Macaca mulatta: one gene and its partners. The protein of the gene in region 2 purifies or fractionates together with the protein of the main gene of each other region. This does not show direct contact. Links are inferred from orthologs where the notes say so. Each region holds a gene or a part of one and is shown on either strand. Other genes may lie near its edges. The genes, in order: CNNM2, PTP4A2, RABGGTB and CNNM4.

Region 1 (4,050 bases), on a different chromosome or scaffold from region 2:
GGGGGGGGGGGGCCGGAATGTGCTTGTAGAATACAAAAGAGGTAGAGAAACATTAAACATTTTTAATGTTTTAAGTTTCAAGGAAAAGATCAATTTGACAGCTACTTTGCTACCTCGTCACCTCCAGGTGACGCTGGGAGTACTGGGGAGCTAGGTTTCCAGAACTTTTTGCTCTTGAGTGACCTATGACCCTAGCAGAGTTTGGCCAGTGTGATTAAGAATGAGCCTCTGCGGGTCTGCTTAGGATAGGATGCTTGCCGCCCTCCCATTTCCTTAACTTGCCTGGGTTCCTGTTGGGAATACAGATTCGGGGCCCTTCCCACTCTGTAAATATGGAAAAGGGTCTAGGAAGTATATACTTTTAGTAATAATATGTAGGGGTTCTATGACTAGCAAATTTGGGGAACTGTCCCTCTGACCGCGCCATCCGTAACTTTCTGTACACCTTTCGGGGTATGCCGCGGACCTGGAAAGCGTTGCAGGGCGCCCCTGCGGCCCGCAGGTGGCGCCATGTGATCGCGAGCCGCAGAGAGCGCGTACCCTAGGAGTCTTGAGGCGCGAGGACTGCTGGTCGGCAGCTGTGCCGGGGCCACCGACGCCGCTTACCCCAGCGGAGCGCCGCGCACGTAGAGTTGGGGACAGCGGCCGGTGCCCCGGCTTTTTAGGCTGTGTGCATCCCAAGCCGCCTCTAGTTGGCTTCTCGGGCCCCCGGGGCAGGAGGGCGCTGCGGCTTTCTGCCCACGAACTGACAACTGCAGAGCCAGCAAGCCAGTGCATCGGGAACCTGCCGCCTTGCGCCGCAGGGCTTTAGTCCAAGCCCGGCCGGTCCAGGCTCCCGGATCTACTACAGGGTCCCCCGGGGAGCGCGGGCCCCGGGGACGGCTCCTTCCCATTGGCAGCAGGACGGAGGCCACGCCCCTTTCCTACAACTCTCATCTTTGACTGGCTCTCGAGTCCCAGCTGGCCACGCCCCCTCCCCTCGCACATACACAAGAGTCACGCGCCTTTCAGTTGGAAACTTGGCGTGCAGAGGGGGACGGTGGCTCTCATCGCCCCACCCATTTACCTTGCCATTGGTTCGCGGAACGGCACACGGTCACGCCCCCATTCCAGCCCCCTGGCTGGGAGGGCGGGCGCCCGCTTGTGATTGGCCAGTGGGCCTGCCTCTCGCGGGAGCAGCCGGCGCTCCTCTCCCTCCCTCTGTCCCCTCCCGCGAGCCTCGGGGTTCCTCAGCTGGCCGAGGTCGAGTCAGTGTCAGTCAGGGAGGCGAACTGCTGAGCACTGGCCGCGGACGCTCAGTTGCAGTCTCGCCCAGGGGCAGGTACCTGCGCTCGCGCCGCCGGGTGGAAAGGATGAAGCCGCAGCTGGAGCAGCCACCCTATGATTGGCTGTGGCGCTTGTGAACCCAAAGTAAAGATGGCGGGCGGGCAGGCAGCCGCCGCACTGCCCACTTGGAAGATGGCGGCGCGCCGCAGCCTCAGCGCCCGCGGCCGGGGGGTCCTGCAGGCGGCTGCGGGGCGGCTGCTGCCGCTGCTCCTGCTGAGCTGCTGCTGCGGCGCGGGCGGCTGCGCAGCGGTGGGCGAGAACGAGGAGACGGTGATCATCGGGCTGCGGCTGGAGGACACGAACGACGTGTCGTTCATGGAAGGGGGGGCGCTGCGGGTGAGCGAACGGACCCGGGTCAAGCTGCGGGTGTACGGGCAGAACATCAACAACGAGACGTGGTCCCGCATCGCCTTCACCGAACACGAGCGGCGGCGCCACAGCCCGGGGGAGCGCGGGCTGGGGGGCCCCGCGCCGCCGGAGCCGGACAGCGGCCCCCAGCGCTGCGGCATCCGCACCTCAGACATCATCATCTTGCCCCACATCATTCTCAACCGCCGCACCTCGGGCATCATCGAGATCGAGATCAAACCGCTACGCAAGATGGAGAAGAGCAAGTCCTATTACCTGTGCACGTCGCTCTCCACGCCCGCCCTGGGTGCCGGCGGCTCGGGATCCGCGGGTGGCACCGTCGGGGGCAAGGGCGGCTCGGGGGTGGCCGGGCTCCCGCCACCCCCGTGGGCCGAGACCACCTGGATTTACCACGACGGCGAGGACACCAAGATGATCGTAGGCGAAGAGAAGAAATTCCTGCTGCCCTTCTGGCTGCAGGTGATCTTCATTTCGCTGCTGCTGTGCCTGTCGGGCATGTTCAGTGGCCTCAACCTGGGGCTCATGGCCCTGGACCCGATGGAGCTGCGCATCGTGCAGAACTGCGGCACGGAGAAGGAGAAGAATTACGCCAAGCGCATCGAGCCGGTGCGCAGGCAAGGCAACTACCTGCTGTGCTCACTGCTGCTGGGCAACGTGCTGGTCAACACCACGCTCACCATCCTGCTCGACGACATCGCCGGCTCGGGCCTCGTGGCCGTGGTGGTCTCCACCATCGGCATCGTCATCTTCGGGGAGATAGTGCCCCAGGCCATCTGCTCCCGCCACGGCCTGGCTGTGGGGGCCAACACCATCTTCCTCACCAAGTTTTTCATGATGATGACCTTCCCCGCTTCCTACCCGGTCAGCAAGCTGCTGGACTGCGTCCTAGGCCAGGAGATAGGCACCGTCTATAACCGGGAAAAACTGCTGGAGATGCTCCGGGTCACCGACCCCTACAACGACCTCGTTAAGGAGGAACTGAACATCATCCAAGGGGCGCTGGAGCTCCGCACCAAGACGGTGGAGGACGTGATGACCCCACTCCGGGACTGCTTCATGATCACTGGCGAAGCCATCCTGGATTTCAACACCATGTCTGAGATCATGGAGAGCGGCTACACCCGCATTCCAGTGTTTGAAGGGGAGCGCTCCAATATCGTGGACCTGCTGTTCGTCAAAGACTTGGCCTTCGTGGATCCAGATGACTGTACTCCCCTGAAAACCATCACCAAATTTTATAACCACCCCTTGCACTTTGTTTTCAATGACACCAAGTTGGACGCTATGCTGGAAGAATTTAAGAAAGGTGGGAAATTTTGGTCTCTTTCATTGGCTTGCTCTTTCTCTCTCCATCCTCTTCCCTACTTGAGCCCTCTACCCTCAGACCAACCCCCCAAGGCGAGTTGACCGGGATTTCTCCTTCTCTCTCTTAATTGCAAAGTTGAAAGGGTGGCGTGGATTTGGGGATGGATTGAACTAGTAAGTGCTACTAGGTTATTTTAAAGCACAAGACTGCCATCACTTACTTTTTACCATTATCAAAAAGCAGGCTGTGTAATTTCTGTGCATGACACTTTTTTTTTTTTGGTTCCGTGTGTGGGGCCTCTGTGCTTGAGGGGTCTGCCGCCTTCATTGTCTGGGTTCTCAGTGGGTAGGTGAAGGTAGGGGCTGGCTGATGCCATGCCATTTGGTTGACTTTAATCACAGGCATTTGGAAAACATGTAAATAGCTTTTGTAAACTCAGTGCAGTCGTTTTCCTTCTCCTTAAACATCCACACTGGCCTTTCAAAGATCGAAGTACATTTTCTATAGCTTCTGTTCCTGCTTGCCTGGCAACTTACGGGGAAGATTGAGGTCTGCCTTTGAGGGTAAGGGGCGGGGTAAACTAAGTATCGCCAAAAAAAATCACCCATTTTCGATGTGACTTCTCTTAGCTAGAAAAGTGTTGTTGTTGTTGTTGTTTTAAATTAAAATTACTAATATGTAACTTGGAAAGACTAGCGGTTAGCCAGCCTTTTGTGAAGAGGCTGTATGTCCCGTAGCCTTCTTCACTATTTGTTTACGTTTATCTGACAATAGTTACAGTTGCCCAAACCAAGTGTGATTTTGGCAGAAAGCTTGCACCTTTAACAGTGGGATGAATCCCTCTATTGGGGCTTATTTATTTCTTGACTCTTTCAGTCTAAGTGTTCTTTTTTTCCACCTTGGTCATCCGATACATTAAACTGAATTATGTCTCCGTCAACTCTCACTGTTCCAAGGTGAGAAATTATACAACACATCATTTCTTGCATTGTGGTATTTGTTCGCTTGACCATATAATGAACAGGTAAATAGCAACTTGTACTATTATT
Region 2 (4,117 bases):
AGCTTAGGCCCCAAAGAGCCTCCAGTCAGCATCTCCTAAATGATCCCCTTGCCTCCAGCCTTCTCTATTTCAACAGCTCTCCTAAGTACAAGCTGCTAGGTCATCATGTGGATGAGAAACCTCAATGTAAGATGAGCTATTGAAACAGCAGTATGATGTATTGGAAAAATCAACAGCTTTGGAGTCAAAGACCTGGATTTTTAATCCAGCACTAATTCTTCTTATCTGTGTGACCTGGGACAAGTTACTTAACCTTTTAAGTTTCTGTATCTCTTCTTCTCACCACTGTAAATCCATGGGAGCTCATCGCTGTATCCCTAGTGCCGGGCAAACAGAAGTGGTTCAAAATAAGCCAAATGGATGCAAATGAAGAGACCACCTTTCTTGTAGTTGTGAGAATTAAATGAATATAAAAAGCACCTGTAGCACAGTAGGCAATTAACACTAATTAATTCCTTCCCTCACTGAATAGTAACAATACTATTTACTATTTCTTTCTTATTTTTTTGAGAGAGGGTCTCACTGGCTCACTACAGCCTTGACTTCCTGAAATCACAAGTTCCTCTCGCCTCAGCCTCCAGGATAGCTGGAACTACAGGCACATACTACCATGCCTAACTTTTGTATTTTCTGTAGAAATGGAGTCACCACGTTGCCCAGGCTGGTCTTGAACTCCTGGGCTCAATCGATCCTCCTGCCTCAGCCTCCCAAAGTGCTAGGATTACAGGCGTGAGCCACCACGCCCAGCCGAAAAATATAAATTCTAACTTTTAATTACACATCAATGATTTTGCCTGTAATTCTATTATGTTCACGATCAAAAGGACCACCCTCGCGCCTGTTAATCCCAGCACTTTGGGAGGCCAAGGCAGGTGAATCAGTGGCGGTCAGGAGTTCGAGACCAGCCTGGCCAACAAGGTGAAACCCCGTCTCTACTAAAACTATGAAAATTAGCTGGGTGTGGTGGCGCACACTTGTATTCTCAGCTACTTGGGAGGCTGAGGCGGGAGATTACTTGAACCTGGGAAGCCTGGGCAACAGAGCAAAACTCCATCTCAAAAAAAAAACAACAACAACAAAAGGACCATACTACTTTTTGCTTATACTGAAAGACTACCAACTTCTAAGAGACAATTATTTTTAAGATAACATCATTTTTAATATTATATCAAAGTGTAAAATCCCTATCGAGGTACTACTCTTCATCAAGAATCCCTACTTTTACAACTCAAGAATGGGAAAAGTCCATGACAATAATTAGTCCATTCATTATGAAACTTAAAAATGCCAAGATCAGAATACCAGCAAACAACTTCTCACCATCTTCACCAATACAATGGTGTGCTGGCAAGTGATTCTGAAGCCCTGATAATGTGTCATTCTGCATCCTTAATTTCCTTTTGCACATTCGGCAAGGCATAACTTCACTCACTTCCCTCTGAAACTACTCTGTTACAGAGCATGACAGCAAGTACCATATTCCAACTCAGCAGTGGTTGTAGTTTGGTGACTCCAGACAAACATTTGCTGAATGCCTACAGTGACACTAGAACTGCGGGTCACTGCTAATTTCTTGACAAATTCCAGGAAATAATAAACTAGCCTATAGTTTAATTTACCTAACAATAAAATACTCTTCACCTGAAAAACTAGCAGTACTTTACAAAAGTTTATGCTCCTGAACACTCTACAGGCCAGAGTGTAGGCTCTTGGGCAACAGACACACTTCTTTTCGTTAGCTCTCAGGGACCCAGACTAGGATAGGATGGCATCCTTGACTAATTTGAAAATTTACTTTGAAGTTATGAAACGTGGGAGAAAAAAAACGTATAGAACAACAACAAAAAAAACACATCACATCTTTTCTGGGGGGGAAAAAAATTAAAATCCCAGAGCCAGAAGATCATAGTGCCACTAGAAGAGACTTATACCCCCTTTCCTCATACTTGAACCTGAGCACCCAGGGACAAGATGCTCCCGGAAAGAACTCCCTAACCCAACACACCACGGTTCACTATCGCCACACACAAAGACGAAGAGGAAGGGCCTCCAGGATGCCTGCTCACACACTGGACACACGCCGGCACACCCTGCCACACTCCCGCCTCTGCCACGCACCTTCTCACCGACACACACCATGTTCTCCCCCTACACTCGCTCTCTACCACACTCTCAACTCTCTCCTCCCCCACTTCTCACTCATGTACCCCCACCCCTCATGCCCACACGCTCCCCGCACACCCATACCCTCCCTCGCCTGCACCCACACTCCCCCAACATCGACACTGTCCCCCGACCCGCTCCCACTCCCCCCACCTCCTCGCACACTTAGCCCTGTCCCCCACTCACACGCCCTCCCTTCACCAACTCACACTCTCCCCCACGCTCGCACAGCTCTCCCCCTTCCACACACACGAGCCCGCCCCTCGCTCACCCACCCTCGCTCCCCCGCCCCGGCCCGGCCCGGCCCTCCTTCCGGGGACGTGTCTCCGGCCTGTACTAATGGCTGCAGCGCCTCCCGCCCTCCCCTTCCCCGAGGCCCCCGGCGCCGGCGCGGGGGCCGCCCGGGAGGGGCGCACTCACGCTGGCGAGCTGGGGACTGGGCATTGAAGTCCGGCGGCGGCGGGAGCGAGGAGGCGCCTCTCTCCTCAGTCACCTCGGCGGCGGCGGCGGCGGCGGTAGCGGTGGCGGCGGCGGCGACGACTCCCCCCCAGCCTCGGCGCGCGACACCCGGCCCGGCCCGGCGGCGGCGGCGGCGGCGCGTCTCCACGAGTCCGTCTTGCTGCTGCTGCTGCGGTCGCCGCTGCGTCTCCTGCTGCCGCCGCTGCCCCCGCTGCCGCCGCTGCCCTGTGGCGTCGCCTCGCGCCGTGCCCGGCCGCCGCTGCCGCTCCAGCCACTCCCGGACGGACGACGGTTACAGCCCGGCCGATCGCGCCGCCGCCACCACCGCTGCGCGCGCAGCCGGAACCAGCTCCCGCCGCCGCCCCTCAGGGGGCGCTGCGGGGCGCGGCTCAATGGGCAGCTGACCCGCCCTCCGCGTTCGCTGACTGGCTGGCCGGCCGGCTCGCGGGCGGTTGGGCCCGCCCACCTGCCCCGCGGGGCTCTGACCCACTGCCCTGGGCACCTCCCCCGCTCCTCCTCCTGGTGGTTCGTTCTGCTCCGCACTCCCGGCTACGGAAGGCGAGTCCATGTGACCGGGGAGGGAAAAGCAGAACGTGGCCTGGGGAGTCGTTCGCCCACGCTGCGCCCCGCCCATCCGCACCTGGGCTGGGTCGAGGGCCTGCAGCCGAGGTGTGACCCGCAAGGTCGAAGGGTTCTTTCTCGCTCCTAGGCCGTCAGGCCTGGGGTCAGATCCTGATGGGACAGGGTGGCCACCAAGTCCTGTGCTTGGGGATTTCCAACTCAGAAGTGGGAACCCGGGCAGCTCAGTTCTTGGCTGCCCTTCCTGAGGCCCCAAATAAATAGCGTGTGCATCTTCGTGGAGGATATTAATACGCCACCCCCGGCTCTGCCCACAAGACACACACACATTCTAAGAACTGTCCCTGACAAGCCAAAATTCAGACTTTCAGGATGTAGGATCTTGGGCAAGTGATTCCCTCTCTCCAAGTATTATCAACTATAAAGTGGAAATAATAGGCCGGGCGCGGTGGCTCAAGCCTGTAATCCCAGCACTTTGGGAGGCCGAGACGGGCGGATCACGAGGTCAGGAGATCGAGACCATCCTGGCTAATATGGTGAAACCCCGTCTCTACTAAAAATACAAAAAACTAGCCGGGCGAGGTGGTGGGCGCCTGTAGTCCCAGCTACTCGGGAGGCTGAGGCAGGAGAATGGCGTAAACCCGCGAGGCGGAGCTTGCAGTGAGCTGAGATCCGGCCACTGCACTCCAGCCTGGGCGACAAAGCGAGACTCCGTCTCAAAAAAAAAAAAAAGAAAGAAATAATAATCAGCAACCTCATGGGCGCTTTCACGATCGATAATAACGTATGAAAACACTTGAGAAAGGCCGGGCGCGGTGGCTCATGCCTGTAATCCCAGCACTTTGGGAGGCCGAGGCGGGCGGATCACTAGGTCAGGAGTTCGAGACAAGCCTGGCCAACATAGTGGAACCCTATC
Region 3 (3,154 bases), about 44 Mb from region 2:
GACCATCAACTCAACTGTTAGTGTTTCCTTATTTGAAGGTAACCCCTTCCTTGGGTAATTCTGATATATAAAATGCTAAAAAATATGTACAGTCCGAATCACAACCCCATTTTAAGATGGTAGACTGCCATTTAACCTAAGTCTGTGACTAATTCAGAATAACCATATTCAAACCTATGAATCATTTCCAAATTTCAACAACCATTTATTTTGTGCATCATTTAATTCATGTATGGGTTCTATCCACTTTCATCAGTTAACATTCTTGTTGACAAACCATTTTACATCAACTTGCTATAGAACACATGAAAGGTATACATGGGAGAAAAATCAAGTAGAAACCTAGAGTTCTTCTACATTAGCTCAGTTATTGAACATAAATAACAGACACAAAAGTATACACAAAAAACTGTAGTCAGAATAACAGGACTTCAGAATAAAGAGCAGAAAATAAAATACAGGTCTTTATTTTACAATATGTATAATTATATAATTTATTAAAATTAATTTAACACAATGTACAAAATATTAACAGTATTCATTTTTAGATTTAATAAGCACTTCAAATACAGAAATGTTAAAATGGCAAAACTATACTATGCAGCTTTCACTTTAATGAATCTAGCTCACTAGCTCAGGCTGAACATTCACTCTCTGAAGCACTTCTTCAGGCATGCAAAAGACAGGATTAACAGGTTTAATCTGTTCTTCTCCCAAAAGTGACAATCCAGCAATTCCAAATAAGGTATGAAAAGGATCCACCTATTTAAAAAAGAATTTATATACAGATTACAAAATGAAAACTTCTTTAACTTCAAATCATTAATACCTGACCTTTACCATATACTAATTTTGTTAGCAACAGGCGACAAGAAATTTCTGTAAGATTGTTCTATATCCTTCATACATTCTACGAGAAATAGAAAAAAACACTGCTTTCAAAGCAACACTTGGAATACCACCCTGGAAATCCATGGAACCATGAAGGAATGCGACACTAAAATAATTTATACAAATATGTCAGAAATATTACTTGCCATATCTCCTGGCCTGTCTGCAAATCCCCCCGTTTCTTCATCTTGACATGCTAAAATGAAATTACGTAGTTTCTCTCTATCAATCCAATGAAGTCTTCCAATTATCTTTAGGGAAGCCAGGACCCACCATGAATAGCATACATCTGGTAACTAGGAGGGAAAAAAGTTGCCACAATTTCATTCTCTTTTATTTCCCTAATTTTGAGAACAATTTAAAAGTGGATTAAGTCTCACTCTCAAGTAATCTGATGTTCTAAGTGTCAAACCATGTGGAGGGACGAAATCCAGGGATATACTGACATGTAGGGTATGAAATACTTGCTTAGAATGAAAGATAATCAATTAATGGGTAAGAAGAGACCAAACTCCAATTCATAGGTAACCATGCTAAATATCTCAGTACTCACTGATAAGCGTGCATCTACCTTGTTTCTATCTGCAACAAATGCCTAACTCAGCCCCTTAACCAAGAAGCTAGTAGTATAATCATGAAATCCATGGGTACAGTTCTGTTTTTCTACCAGCACTGTCCAGGTGGGTACACACCTGCTTAAAATTCAACTAAACTCTAGCTCTTCAAAATATGGTGACATAAGTCTGTAAGGAAGAAAATCCCACCCAAGGCTGCATTTTAATGAGATCCTTGAATAACGCATAGACCCATTAGAAGCTGCCCTAGATCGTGAGCAAATGCAGGCCCAGGCACGGCCACCCATTTTTCTGTTGACAGTTCCTCAAGTTTTTTATTCCACTCTGTTGTAGACAGCAACTGTGGGTGTTTCTCTGCCCATTGTCACTCAGAAAAACTGAGGTTTAAAAATAAAAATACAGGCTGAGCACGGTGGCTCATGCCTGTACTCCCAGCACTTTGGGAGGCTTAGGAGGGTGGATCACCTGAGGTCAGGGGTTTGAGACCAGCCTGACTAACATGATGAAACCCCATCTCTACTAAAAATACAAAATTAGATGGGCGTGGTGGCGCACGCCTGTAATCCCAGCTACTGTACCACCACGTCCCATTCAGAGGGCACAGCAAGCTACAATCCTTGAGTCAAATCTAGACTATAGTGTAGGAACACATTTTACATTTGTAAATCATTTAAAAATAGTCCTGGGTCAGGCGCAGTGGCTCACGCCTGTAATCCCAGCACTCTGGAAGGCTGAGTCAGGCGGATCACAAAGTCAGGAGTTCGAGACCAGCCTGGCCAATATGGTGAAACCCCGTCCCTAATAAAAGTACAAAAATTAGCTGTGCGCCTGTAGTCCCAGCTGCTCGGGAGGCTGAGGCAGGAGAACTGCTTGAACCTGGGAGGCGGAGGTTGCAGTGAACTGAGATGGCGCCACTTCACTCCAGCCTGAGCAACAGAGCAAGATTCCATCTCAAAAAAAAAAAAAAAAAAAAAAAAAAATCTGACATATGAAATAAGTATATCTGTCCATAATAATTTTAACTGGAACAGTCATACCCATTCATTTCTTACCACTTATGGCTGCACTTGCTCTACAGGAAAATCACATAGTTGCAAATGAGTATTCACTGTTTGTCCCTTACAGACCTGATATAGGGACCTATCATGTGGAGGAAAATTTAATAATATCCTCTCTCCAAACTAAATTATCTGGGTATTCCTTAAATAAGAAGACTGTAAACAAAAATTCTGTAGCCTAATTTTTTAAAAATCCAATTTGCCAAAACCAACTGTCCTTAAACATGGAGATTCCTGTGCAAGACTGTCTGGAAATGGACATCAGGATCAATGAGTATTTCAACTCACGGGGCTCTACTTTTGCCAAGGGGAGTCTTTTAGTAGGACGCATTACTGAAAATTTGCAAGAGGGAAAGTTAATAAATAAGCTCATGGCCAATTTACAATATTGAAATAGGCAAGACAAAGCTGCAGCATTCACTCAAGGTTCTAAAGTCAGCAGAACAGAGCTTATCAAACAATACCTTCTCTGGCCTTCCATTGAGCCCGCCTGAAGGTAACTGTCGTTCACAAAGCCACCAGCCAAGTAAATCAGAATTTACTTGATGCAACTGACTTGTAATAGCCAGAAATCCTGTGCAACAATAGATCTAAAATTACAGACATAAAGTATATGTGTATAATAATTCC
Region 4 (3,565 bases), on a different chromosome or scaffold from region 2:
TCCTTCCCACCCCTTACTTGCTAAAGGGATGGTAATTCCCTCTCCATTATTTTTCCTGTGGGATATCGATGCTGATGCAATAATTATAGTCACATATACTAAGCGCTGTCCACGTGCTATCCCATTCGCCCTCACAACCACCCTGTGAAGCTTTTACCCCCATATTACAGATGAGGAGACTGAGATGCGGGTTATGTAATTTGCCCAAGGTCACGTGCGATTCTTGCAGGAGCCACTGTTCAAGCCCGGGCAGGCAGGCAGGCAGCCTCGGGTCCATCCAGTCAGAAGCCAAGCGTGCTCCCTCCCCAGGGAGATACAGAACTGAGGGCCGGCCGAGCAGGGAGGGAGTCTGGCCACAGCGCGGCTACTGTGGTTGGGGTGGACGCACAACAGTGATCCAGCTTTAGGGCCACCCGGCCAGCCCCGTGTAAGGTCTCCTCTCTGTCCTCCTACAGAGGTCCCCCAGTTTAGCCCCTCCCTGATATCAGAGAAGATCCTGCTGCGGCTGCTCAAGTACCCAGATGTCATTCAGGAACTCAAGTTTGATGAGCATAATAAGTACTACGCCCGCCATTACCTGTACACCCGAAATAAGCCGGCCGACTACTTCATCCTCATTCTGCAGGTGAGCCCACTCAGCCCTGGGCCTGCCGCCTGCTCCCCCTGGCACCGCAGCACCCCTCGGGCCCTCTTTCCCACCTGCTGCGGAGGTGCATGGCTTCCCGGCCTGGGGAGCCTGCCGCCTGCCCTCGAGCCCCACCTGCCCCACGTGGCTGTGCTCTCCCTGACAGGATGAAGGAGAGGCTGTGCTCTCCCTTAATCCCACAGGTCAGGCCCCTGAGCTCTCCAGGGCTCCAGTACCGGCCCTTCCTCCTGCCCCACCATCCCTTGTTCCTTACTCCCCATCCTGCCTCATCCTTTCTTTCCTCCCTCACTCTGTCTCTAACCCCAGCCCTGTGTGTTTTCAGGGGAAGGTGGAGGTGGAGGCAGGGAAGGAGAACATGAAGTTTGAGACGGGCGCCTTTTCCTACTATGGGACTATGGCCCTGACCTCGGTCCCCTCTGGTGAGTTGTTGGGCAGGGTCTGTGCTGCACTCTGGCCCCCTGCAGCTGGGGAGCCGTGGACAGACACCAGAACTGAGCGTGGGCCCGAGAGCTCATAGCCAGTTGGCTGGGGCAGAGGGAGGCTTGTGAGGTGGGAGCCGCCAGGGCCTGGAGTGGGTGGTATGGAGGAGCGGAGGGAGCTGCCCCTTTGGATGGAGTCCAGAAACTGGAGGGGAAGAGAGGAGAGAGGGATTTTAGAGCAAAGGCCAGGAGGCAGTGGAGGGCATGTCCAGAGGTGGTGAGGAGACCAGTCTGCCTGGGGAGGAGGCCTGTGGGGAGGAAGGCCCAGGGCCCTGCTCCTGAGGACAGGAGGGGAGTCTGGGCGTCCAAAGTGCCTGAGGTCAGGAGCCAGGCGAGGGCCTGTTTGCCAGGGCAGGCTACAGATGGGTTTGGCTTTCCGAGGGACGCGGCTACTGGGTTTTGGTTAGAGGTCAGCTCCGATGGAATAAAGGGCCTTGGGGACAGACAGAAGGGAGACTGGGCACCCCCTGAGAGGTGTGATGGAAGGTGTGGGGACGCGCCGCTCTGGCCGCCCCAGTGCCCTCTCCGGTGCTGAGTGGCTCAGGCTTTCCCCGCAGAGCCCCGCAGACAAAGCCCTGCAGGCCCAGGCCTCGCCAGCTCATCTCCTCGCTCCTCTCCAGCCTTCGGTCCTGGGGCGAGGCTGCTGCAGGGTAGAGAGAGAAAGTCCACTTTGGTGCTGGAGAACAGGCCACGCCAGTGGGGTACATGCTGCAGTTCCCAGAGCAGCTCTGTGCTGTGCCTCATTGTCCTTTGACAGAAAGGACCCCGAGGGGGCATGGGGGTAGGGCACCCATGAATATTGACACCCAGCTCAGCTTACCCACCGTGTCGTCGGCCCCTCCACCAGATGAGTGGGGCATGGCAGGCTCCCTGGGCAGGGGACAGACAGGGCCCCAGAGAGGGGCTCTGAGCAGGTGGACCCTGCCAGATGCCTGAGGCCTGGGGAGGACTTCCTGTGCCTCCAAGAGCAGCTGTTCTCTGTTCAGCTTGAGGAAATCTCATTCAGAAGGGCGGGCAGGCACGGGAGGCCTCCCCCAGGCACTGCTTGTGCAACGAAGCCTCGGAGGCCTGGTCCCTCCACCCGTAGTCTCTCTGTTCCCACTTAGTGTGGCCAGAAGGGAGGGGAGATGACTGGGCATACTCAGCCAGCTTCTGCCCATCTCCGCACAGGGCTCATTGCTGTGCCCTGAGCACCCTTCACATCAGAGCCACGTCCCTTTCTCCACTGGGCCCGTCTCTGCCCAAAGCAGCCTGGCCCCGTCAGGTCTGCCTCTGTCCTGTGCCTGTGGCTCCGTGTCCTGTCTCCTGACTGTGCCCATCACTGACCTTCTCTTTTGCTCCAGTGCCTTCAGTCCAGGTCGGGTGTCCGCCTGGCAAGCGGAACTCCCTGCTCTGCTGGCTCACAGGTAACGTGGCATGTCTGAGGGGCACGCTGCTGCCTGCTGCCTGAGCCTGCACACTGCGGCTGCATTTACCTCCCCGCAGGGACCGGGCGCCGCCTGTTCAGTGTTGGCCGCCCGACCTCAGTGGCTCCGACCTCAGTGGCTCTGCTTGGCTGGGGCCCAATTTCTGGGCAGCTTTGCTGCCTCAGCTCTAGAAGGGGCCCCCAAAGGTCTCTTAGTCCTTGAGATCACACACCCATAGACACATACACACAGAGACACACAGATACCACACACAGATATACACACCCACAGACACACACACACACAGAGACACACAGATACCACACAGAGATATACATACCCACAGACACACACACACACACACACACAGACACACAGTGAGATACCACACACAGATATACACACCCACAGACACACACACACACAGACACACAGTGAGATACCACACACAGATATACACACCCACAGACACACACACACACACAGTGAGATACCACACACAGATATACACACCCACAGACACACACACACACACACAGACACACAGATACCACACACAGATATACACACCCACAGACACACACACACACACAGACACAGTGAGATACCACACACAGATATACACACCCACAGACACACACACACACACAGACACACAGTGAGATACCACACACAGATATACACACCCACAGACACACACACACACAAAGACAGATACCACACACAGATATACACACCCACAGACACACACACACACAGACAGATATCACACACAGATATACACACCCACAGACACACATACACACAGAGACACACAGTGAGATACCACACACAGATATACACACCCACAGACACACACACACACAGAGACAGATACCACACACAGATATACACACCCACACACACACACACAGAGACACACAGTGAGATACCACACACAGATATACACACCCACAGACACACACACACACAGAGACACACAGTGAGATACCACACACAGATATACACACCCACAGACACACACACACACAGAG

Evidence for each region.
Region 1: the proteins of PTP4A2 (region 2) and CNNM2 purify together in Homo sapiens (affinity purification with mass spectrometry; 4 studies listed by BioGRID and IntAct, counting the BioPlex papers as one, with this or other methods). This does not show direct contact. The link is inferred for Macaca mulatta from reciprocal best matches to the Homo sapiens genes PTP4A2 and CNNM2.
Region 3: the proteins of PTP4A2 (region 2) and RABGGTB purify together in Homo sapiens (affinity purification with mass spectrometry; 3 studies listed by BioGRID and IntAct, counting the BioPlex papers as one, with this or other methods). This does not show direct contact. The link is inferred for Macaca mulatta from reciprocal best matches to the Homo sapiens genes PTP4A2 and RABGGTB.
Region 4: the proteins of PTP4A2 (region 2) and CNNM4 purify together in Homo sapiens (affinity purification with mass spectrometry; 6 studies listed by BioGRID and IntAct, counting the BioPlex papers as one, with this or other methods). This does not show direct contact. The link is inferred for Macaca mulatta from reciprocal best matches to the Homo sapiens genes PTP4A2 and CNNM4.

Annotation. Positions count from the first base shown.
Region 1 is NC_133414.1:115,055,461-115,059,510, forward strand, and holds the start of CNNM2 (metal transporter CNNM2), read left to right. Parts: upstream 1-1,212; 5' UTR 1,213-1,380; coding exon 1,381-3,001; intron 3,002-4,050.
Region 2 is NC_133406.1:208,945,205-208,949,321, reverse strand, and holds the start of PTP4A2 (protein tyrosine phosphatase type IVA 2), read right to left. Parts: upstream 2,826-4,117; 5' UTR 2,608-2,825; coding exon of another isoform or gene 2,584-2,607; intron 1-2,583.
Region 3 is NC_133406.1:164,782,355-164,785,508, forward strand, and holds the end of RABGGTB (geranylgeranyl transferase type-2 subunit beta), read right to left. Parts: intron 3,115-3,154; coding exon 2,989-3,114; intron 1,188-2,988; coding exon 1,038-1,187; intron 763-1,037; coding exon 622-762; 3' UTR 515-621; downstream 1-514. UniProt on the Homo sapiens protein: Catalyzes the transfer of a geranylgeranyl moiety from geranylgeranyl diphosphate to both cysteines of Rab proteins with the C-terminal sequence -XXCC, -XCXC and -CCXX, such as RAB1A, RAB3A, RAB5A and RAB7A.
Region 4 is NC_133418.1:5,456,785-5,460,349, forward strand, and holds part of CNNM4 (metal transporter CNNM4 precursor), read left to right. Parts: intron 1-455; coding exon 456-625; intron 626-968; coding exon 969-1,065; intron 1,066-2,468; coding exon of another isoform or gene 2,469-2,531; intron 2,532-3,565. UniProt on the Homo sapiens protein: Probable metal transporter. The interaction with the metal ion chaperone COX11 suggests that it may play a role in sensory neuron functions. May play a role in biomineralization and retinal function.